Caenorhabditis elegans: one gene and its partner. The protein of the gene in region 2 purifies or fractionates together with the protein of the main gene of each other region. This does not show direct contact. Each region holds a gene or a part of one and is shown on either strand. Other genes may lie near its edges. The genes, in order: ZK228.3 and irld-62.

Region 1 (5,598 bases), 3.1 Mb from region 2:
ATTTGATAAAATTCGAAAAATTTTAAAATTTTCGATTTTTTGAAAAAAACAATTTTTTTTCAAAATTCCCAAAAAAAATTTTTTTTTACAAAATTCCAAATTCTTATTTAAACTTTACCCTTTTCTTTATCAATAACCGTAACAAACCAATATCCATCATAACTCGTAGAATAAAATCGATAATCATACGCTTGATGAGCCCAGCCGTTAGTTTCTGCGGCCAAGTCGATGAGCTGGTCGAAAACTTGTTGCGGTGGGTTTATCACTAACTCCATTATAAAAAACTAGTGGAAAAAACTGAAAATTAGAAAAAATAATGATGAAAAATACAGAAAAAATGAGCAAAAACGGATGAAAATTGACTATTTTAGGAATTTTCGAAAAAAAAAACGATTTTTTGAAATTTTGAAAAAAAAATCAATAATTCTTAAAATTTCAATAATTGCCAATAATGTGCATAAAACTACTACACTCGTAGCTTTTATCGCAAAAAAACTGAAAATTTCATCATTTTCCCCCCGACCAAAATGGCAATTGTTTCAATGAATTTCCCCTTATTATCACTAATGATAAGAAAATTAGTGATTTGATTTTTATACCGTCACTTTATTGTAGAAAAAAGCACGAGAAAAATTGGAAAAACTGCTAAAAAAGTTTGGAAATCGAATGACTTTATATCCGATGAGAGTGTGATAATATTGTGCAATAGTGATCGAAAATTGGGTAATCTTAGCGAAACCTTAGTGTTTGAACTGATAAATTAAGCCCAAAGTGAAAAAAAAGTAGCTAATACTGAAAAGGTTGAAAAATAAAAAATAAAATTTCAAAAAAAAACAAAACTATCTAGAATTTTCCGAAATTTTACACTAAACAAGTTCAAAAAAAAAACCGAACAAAAACTATTTACCTCTCGGGGACTCGAACCCCGGACCCATTTCCCCATAGTCATCCCTCTACCCACCTGAGCCACTTCGACCCATTTTTAAATTTGAGAAAACTAGTGGTATGCTGGGTGTTTAAGCATTAAAATTTCATGGAGAATCTGAAATTTGGGTTGATTTTCTGATCTGGAAACATTGGAGCAAATTATTTGCTCATGTTCAGAATTTTTTGGTGAAAAATACCTAAATTTCCAACTTCTGATCAAAACTTTTTTGTTGAATAAACTCGCAGCTCCTAACAAAAATTAAATACCCCACCGGGGACTCGAACCCCGGACCTCTGCCCCGACGCCATCCCTCTACCCACCTGAGCTAACGCGACCCATTTTTCCAAAACTTTCAAATTTGAGCCCGCAAACTTAAAACTCCTATATCTCCGTGATAAGTAGGGATATTAAAGTAATTTTTGTAAGGTATAATAATGAGATTTCTATGAGAAAAAGGCACATTGCATCACTGATAAAATGAAAATCACGAAAAATTGCACAATCTCTCTGATCATTGCAATAGTGTGTAAAGTTCAAAATATCATCACTGAATCTTTGCACTTTTTTCCCGCAATTTTTTTTTACTTTTTCTATGTTTCTTCTGTCTATAGCATTTTTTATCAGTTGGTCAAAGGTCACCGATCACATAAAATCTTATCATTGTATTAGATCTTTTCGATGATTTTTTTTTTCTGATTGTGAGACTGATAAGGGCAAATTGAGTCTAATGATCACTTTTTTGTAGTTTTCAACGATTTTTATTTGTTTTTTCATTTATTTTGAAATTTTAAATTTTTTGCAAAAATTAGAATACAAATTTTTGAATTTTTCGAAAATAAAAAAAAATTGAAAATTTTCTAACATCTTTTTTTCGTTTTTTTTTCTCATATTTCGTATCACTTTTTATAATATTTCAGAATTTTCACCACAATGGAATTAGTAATAAACCCACCGCAACAAGTTTTCGACCAACTTATCAACTTATCTGGGGAGCTCAATGGCTGGGCTCATCAACCATATGATTATCGATTTTATTCGGAAAATTTTGATGAATATTGGTTTATTGCAGTTGTTGATAAGGAGAAAAGTGAGTTTAAAAACATAACAAATTTTAAAAAATTTAAAAAAATTGGAAATTTTTTATTTCTCGCCATTTTGATTTTCAACTATAAAATTCCAATTCAGCAGGTTTTCCCGGTAATTTTAAGTATAATCATGACGTATTTCTGATAATTTTGAAATTTCGAGAGAGCGCAGAGAAACGAGACACTCTAGCTGTCTGCGCTGGCGCAGTGGCTAACATGAATGGCTACAGTGTAAGGGTCATGGGTTCGACCCCCACTACGGGCAAAATATTTTTTTTCGGTGAGAGTAATAGGATAACACCAATTTTAAACTAGGAAACTGCGGAAAACTTGAAATTTCCCCAAAAATTTTTTCAGAACCCCATGAAAACTTTGTTGCTGGCGGGTGTTTGGCACGGTGGGATGCTGAAAATGAGGCTTCACTCTACTCAATTGGTCTGTATTACTGTAAGGAAGAATATCGTGGGAAAGGACACGGATTGCCGGTTTTCAAGGCGATGATGGGTATTGTGGGGGACGGAAATTGCGTTCTGACAGCTGGTGGGTCAATTTTAGCTATTTAATTGAAAATTTTAAATCAAAAAATTGAGACGGTCACAATGAGTATAATTTTGTTAATTTTTGGAAAAAAAATCTTGATATTTTTTTTTTTTTTTTTTTTCGAATTTTTTAAAACTTTTCTAATTTTCTGATTTTCACAGTTTCCTCTTACATTCATATAGATTTTCAGCAGTGGACATGTCTGAAAAGTACGCCACCACTTTTGGATTCAAGGAAATGCTCCCGTTTTGGCATATGGAAGCAGAAATTGAGCCGGGAAAAATGAGAATTTCAGCGGATTTGACGGAGAAATATGTTACAAAGGTATGAAAATTGAGTAAGAACGTAATTGTTTGGGTAATTAAAAAACCAAAAAATTGAAAAAAAAGTTTTAAAAATTTGGAAAAATTTTTTCAAAAAAATTTTCATTTAATTTTTTTCTTTAATTTTTCGAATTTTCAAAATTGTCATCACAGTTATACTCAAACTGATCAGAAAAATCTGCTCAATTCAAATTTTAACCCAATAGGGCTCTAATTCTAAAATTAACAAGTTTTCAGGACTGGAAAGAGGTGGGTGAAGCTCAGCTAGAAGCCTATGACCTAACAATTTGCACCCGAAATCGCAAGAAACTCATGAGAAACTGGTTTCAACAGGATCAGGTTTATACTAGAGTGAGTTTCGGGCAGAAAATATTTAAAATGAATCTGGAAAAAATGAGCCCCAGAATTTGTTGAATTTTCGGAAAAAAATCCAAAAAAATTTTAAGGAAATTTTTTTGTTATCTTCAAAAATTCATAACTTCCTTTGAAATATAGCAATTAAGCTAATTTTTAATACAGTTTGCAAAACATACATTAATTAACATTAGTCTAAAAAAATATTAGTAAAACCATCAAAAACTACAGTACCCCAAGACTTTTCCTGGCGGGACTTCAAAATTTTTTAGAAAAATTTTATAAATTTTTCCAAAACTCTTTTTTTTCAAAAACTATAACATTGTTATATATTATTATTATTTCAAAAACTATAACATTGCTCAAAATACAATCTATAAGCTAAATTGACATACAAATTGTACAAAATACATTTCTAAACTAAATTCAAAAACATTTTGAAACAAATCATGAAAAATTACAGTACCCCAAGACTTTTCCTGGCGGGACTCTAAAAATTTTTTTTTTTTAATTTTTTTTTTTTTTTTTTTTAAGTTTTAGAATTTTTTCCAAAATTTCAAATTTTATAACATTGTTAAAATGCAATATATAAGCGTATTTTACATTCAAAATGTACAAAATACATTTCTAAACTAAATCCATAAAAATTTTGAAAAAAATTATCAAAAACTACTGTACCCCAAAACTTTTCCTGGCGAGACCCCCAAAAACCGAAAAACTTCCGAAATTTTCAAAATTTCAAAACTTCTTCCAGATCGCATTTGACAGCAACCAGAAAATTGTGGGTTACTGTACTATCCGAGTGGTCAACCTAAACCGGCTTTGCGCTGCACCGTTTTATGCTGAAAATGTGGAAGTTGCGGAGGTTTTAATGGCGGATATGATGAAAAGTATTCCGGATTTTGCAAGTTTTGAGAAGTTGATTTTCTGGTACCCGGATGTTAATAAAGATGTGGAGAGGTATGTTGGGAGATAAATGTTTGATAAGAAATTGTTAAATTTGCTTGAAAAATCAAGTTTTTTGAAAAAATTTCAAAAATGTCGCAAATTTTTTTTTCAAAAACATTCAAAAATATACTCAATCAATTTGTCTTAATTTTCTGATTTTGAAAAATATATTCAACATGGGTCCCACCGCAATATTCGCTGAGATACGGTGGTTTTTGCGCCCAACTGAAAAAGAGAGAGGACGCAGACAACGAGAGTGTCTCGTTTCTCTGGGCTCTCCAAAATTTCAAAGTTATCAGAAACATGTCATGATTATCCTTAAATTGACCGGGAGGGCATGCTGAATTTGAAAAATTACGTTAAAAAAGGCCGAGTCCAACATTTTTTGAAAAATTAAAATAAATTAAAATAAAAAAATTATTTAAAAAAATAAAAAAATTTTTAAATAAAAAAAACTTTTAGATTGCTCCAAAAGTTGCTCCCAAGTGATGGATATCATATAAAAAAAGATTTCCGTACCCAATTTACGAAAAATGTGATCAAAGCCCGAGATGGGGTGGTGTACTCCGTTGCCTGTTCTACACATCAATTTGTTTGAAATTTTTGGTTAATTTTGTATTTTTTTCAAATTTTTTAAATTGTATTTTTAAAGTTTGGAGTAAAACTTTTTTTTTGAATTTTTTTTTCGTTTTTCTATTAGAAAAAATCAAAAACCTGCCATTTTCAGATTTATGCCGATTTACTGATAGTGATATATTCTTTAATTTTAATTTTGCCGGCTACTCGAGTTTTGAGAAAAAGTATTATATTAAAAAAAAAAAATCGAAATTCCGTCACTTTTTTCTATTCAAAAATTCAAAAAAAAAAATAATTTCCTAAACATTTAATTGTCAAAAATAATCAATTTACGATATTCTTCAAAAATAAATTTGTTTTTAAAAATTTTGAAAATCCGAAAATTTTCGATAATTTTTTTCCAAAAAATCAAAAATTTTTAAAATTTTTTTTAAAACTTTTATTGTTTTCATTTAAACCGAAATTGTCTCCTGATTCCAAAAATATACATATCATAGTACCTGGATCAAAAAACACAGAGTTACGGGCGTTTTTACACCCACCGCATAGAGAGAGAGAGAGGGCGCAGAAAGCGAGAGTGTCTCGTTTCTCTGCGCTCTCTCTTTGTCGAAATTTCAAAGTTATCAGAAATATGCCATGATTATATTTATTTTGAACGGCACATGAAAATAAATCCAAATTATCTAAAAAGAATTGGAAAACTTTACAAAGAAAATATTTTGGTACAAATTTCCAAATTTTCAACAAAAAATTTATTTTCAAAAACTATGATTTGTTCCAAATTTTATAAATACACGTTATCGGAACGGAAACTTAATGTTACACAAAATATTAATCAAATTCC
Region 2 (4,024 bases):
GGTAGCTTAAAAATCCTAATGTTTTAATGTAAACGTACTTCAGGCTCCGTGTGCATTATCTACTTGACACTTAACCGATCAATCCGTAAAACAGTTTGAAAAATGAGTTGTTCAATGTTTCCTTCGAAAGTGAACATATCAGTAGCACCAAACATGTTTATCACTTGATGAATATAAAACTATCTACGGGGCTTAATTATCAGATCATTTAAATGAAAACTATGTGCAGGCTTGGGCTTCACTTTAACTCGCAATCTTACTATTAGCATATTGATTACAACATCATTGAAACCGCAAAAATCATGAACATTGTTTCCTTTTTTATTTTCTCTGAAAATAAATCTACATTTTTTCCGTTAAAATTGCGCTCCACAATTTTGTGTTTCAAAGATTTTTGAAACACGTTTGAAAATAAAAATGACATCGAGCACAATAACAAATTTTATTTTCCAACTTCCAACATGTAGTTTTTCTTTCAAAAATCAAAAACAGTTACAAATTGTCAGCAATATTAAAATTGTTGGTGTCCATCCAAATCTTGACACGCTATTGTTGTATTCCTGTCTTATTTTTTCTGAAAAAACAATCTCAACTTAATTTCCTCCTAAACCTACTAACCACAACTTTTCTTATCGAAAGATTCCTTTACATTACTCACATTCAAGACATGCTCGAATTGATCACAATAAATTGGATCAGTTGAAATAATCTTATTATTATTAGAGAAAACTACATGATGAGCAATGAATTTACTGTATACGGTTGAAGTTGGATAAATTCGCTGAAATGTTGGCATTCAAGTGGTAGAATTATCTGATTTACCTTCAAACTGGGGAATAAAAAATTTGTCAAGTTTACATTGTATTCAACTCTAATGGCTTCCTCTGTAATATATTCTCATTTGAGATAAATCTTTAAAATACTTTGAAAAAAAAAACGCACCCATCGACGAAGTGTGCAATAAAATGTATTTCAGATTATCAAAAAAGTCAATAGTTGTCAAGCTTGTTCGACTTATTAGCAGGCCTCCAAATAAAACCTCAACTGATTTCAATCTGCTTACCAAATGCTCATTATCCTGACCGATTTTCAAATCACCAAAAACGTGCTTACATCCTTCAGGAATACCGTTACCCACATTGCAGGTGTCTGTTTTTGTATTAATAAAATCCACTTGTGATATTTCAAAGTCTACATCAGGATTGCTAAGGAAGGTCATAGCTTCTTGGATCGTCACATCAGTTGTTAGCATGGAACTAAGAATTGAAACTTTGATCCTTGAACCATTAGCATCTCTTGGCACGATATTCTGGAAGAGAATGTTTCATTAGTTTTACTATTAGGTGAACCAAAATTACTATCAAATTCGGCAAATTCAATTTGTTCATTCTGAAATTGTTAAAAATACGGAAGTCAGCGCATATAACAGTTGTCAAGTTAGTGAGTCCCATATCATTCATTTTATTGTCTTCCCATAGAAACTCTCGATCTCCTGAAATAAAAAAGAATAATTCATACAAGCTGATTTAAAACGTACCACATTCCAAAGTCTCCAGACTTTCTAAAAACTTTAAACTCTCATACTCTGTAAATGATACATGCAAACTGCCAACTAAATGCTTCACGTTTTGAAATGTTCTTGCTAACTGTTCCTCTGATACATTAGACTCGGCTTTAATAATTGTTTCACAACAAACTTTTGTACATTGTCTAGGGAAAATATCAACCATTTCAGATGTGAATAGGCCAGGGATAGCAGAGCGATTGTTGTAAAGATTCGCGGTGTAAATACATTGAGGTTCTGGAATAGGAAAAAAGATTCTGTTATTATTTTCTTATCAAATATATATATTTTTTTCTCTCAGTTTGGAGCCATAAAAACAGTCAAGCGCGGCTTCATCAAAAAATATTTTTTTTTAACCAGCAGTTAAGACAACATTGTGTAAACTTACCACATCTCTCCCTGAAAAACGATTCGGTTTCTTCAATATACTTCATATCATTCAAGTCATCGATGGTTGAACCAACTTTGGGAATCAACAAAATTACGCAAAACATAAAAGTTTTCATACTTCAATGTGTAGGGAAACTTTGAGTAATGAGCAAGACGAAAATTAAGGCAGGTGTAATTTTTGTTGCCTTTGACATTTTTGTAATTAGACAATTGAACAAACTATAATATTTTTCATGAAAAAATACTTTAAAACCAAAGAACATTAATCTAACAATTTTTATTTTTTGCAACTCCAATAATGCAGTTTAAAATTCAAAGTTCACTGAAACCGTAAAAAATTGGCAAACCCTCATTTGATTTTTAGTGCGGTTCAGTGTTTTTATCTAACTTAACTAACAGAACAACGGTGACTCTACAATCATTTATTAACGGAACAGTAGTAACACTAATAGAACACGTACGGTAACAATTATATAGTAAGCACTGATTCGGGCAATCCCTCCAAGGTTGGCGATGTGGTCCACGTGTCCAGGATTGAGTTGTTCATCATTGCGTGGTAAGGTCATAATATCAACAAGAATAGCAATCACCCAACTTCGATCACGCGAAACTGGTAGACACCAGATTAGCCAGTCTGGAGTAGTCGAGAGTAAACCACCTGACTCCAGACAGCTATGGCTCATACTTACTTCCATCCAAGGATTAATGGAGACTTTCAAACTGGCCTCAATTGACTTCGGTCCACAATCAGGCTTCAAAGTCACGGGAATACTCCGAGTCTAGATTGGCTGAAAAAAATTATGGTTTGAACTTGGTGAACCAAGATTATTCGGTGATGAGATATGAAAGATTTCACATCAAAAAACTATCCTAATGTTTAGGATTTTTACACAAAATTCTTACCAAAGATGAAGCAACATCATCATCCATTTAACTGAAGTCATTGTCGACGGAGTTTTGAATATTATAATATAGGCGGCTAGCAAATGAACTGGAATCTCAATTACAGCAAGCGGATGAAGAAGAGACGGAGCAAATGTGTCGAGCTCATACGTGGAATTTCTCCAAAGGCACATTGGTCAGTAAAACAAGTAAAACAGCAAATTTGTGTTCAGTAAGTTAGGAAGCCAAAATAGATTTTTGTTATGAAAAATTAGATTAAGAAAAACCGATTCTCGACATATAATGTCTAGTAGCATAACCACATTCTGAAATGTAACGCCAACCTTTTGACAAACGGGAAAAAACTCACGAAAACTTCCTTTACGTCCTTTCTTCAAATGTAGCAGCAAATTGTTCTTCGGCTCCGAACTAAAATTATATGTTATTAACCGGAGTAATGAGAGAAGGTCTTAACCTTCTTAACTGGTAAATTCCTGATTTCACTAAGTTTGAAAAAATGTGTAAATTTATTGTAACCAGCCAAAAATCATAAACTGTCTAAAAGGTTATTTATTTTTTTTGTAACATCGAAAAAAGATCACCGACATACATAGAACTTCGAAAACCAAATGCCGAACGTCATTTTTAGTCTGCTTAGCCACGGTGATTTTCTAAATTTTTTCGTGACATGTTCCAAGAATTAATTCACTTTTAACCATTGAGTGAAAAGTATAATTCGAAATTTGTTTTGTTTTTCGCTGTTTTTCTCATTCTAGGCCTACGAGTAATTTATTTTATTATTTTTGGAGTAGAGTCGATTTGAAATTTTGCTTTTAAAAATTTTGCTTTCAAATGCTTCCCTGCCGCTAAATTTCTTATTAGAAAGATATTTTTTTCGAGTCACACAAGTTCAAATACTTCCCAGTTTTGGCTTTGGAGTTTTGGAGTAGTGTGGTGCACATACAGTTCCAGGAAAAAGTTGCGTTAAAACCTAGCTTAAAAGTTGTAAAAATCATATGACCTGCAAGATGTCTGCTGCGAATTCAAATAGTCGTGATTTCTTGTAAAAGTGAGACACCCACGAATTTCAATCCATGAAAACCAAAAATTAATTGTAATTCTGAAAATAAGCACTGCTCTTGGAAACCCAGTTCTCTGAACAGGTGACTTTTCTAATTTCTCTCAAAC

The links.
Region 1: the proteins of irld-62 (region 2) and ZK228.3 fractionate together in Caenorhabditis elegans (co-fractionation; one large-scale study listed by BioGRID). This does not show direct contact.

The regions. Positions count from the first base shown.
Region 1 is NC_003283.11:18,457,492-18,463,089, reverse strand, and holds ZK228.3 (YitH/HolE acetyltransferase (GNAT) domain-containing protein), read left to right. Parts: upstream 1-1,839; 5' UTR 1,840-1,858; coding exon 1,859-2,015; intron 2,016-2,370; coding exon 2,371-2,553; intron 2,554-2,743; coding exon 2,744-2,877; intron 2,878-3,113; coding exon 3,114-3,227; intron 3,228-3,984; coding exon 3,985-4,190; intron 4,191-4,640; coding exon 4,641-4,776; 3' UTR 4,777-4,849; downstream 4,850-5,598. Other genes in the region: ZK228.4 (N-acetyltransferase domain-containing protein), read right to left, coding at 119-275.
Region 2 is NC_003283.11:15,309,126-15,313,149, reverse strand, and holds irld-62 (Receptor L-domain domain-containing protein), read right to left. Parts: upstream 2,071-4,024; coding exon 1,953-2,070; intron 1,802-1,952; coding exon 1,538-1,801; intron 1,493-1,537; coding exon 1,359-1,492; intron 1,310-1,358; coding exon 943-1,309; intron 885-942; coding exon 823-884; intron 782-822; coding exon 614-781; downstream 1-613.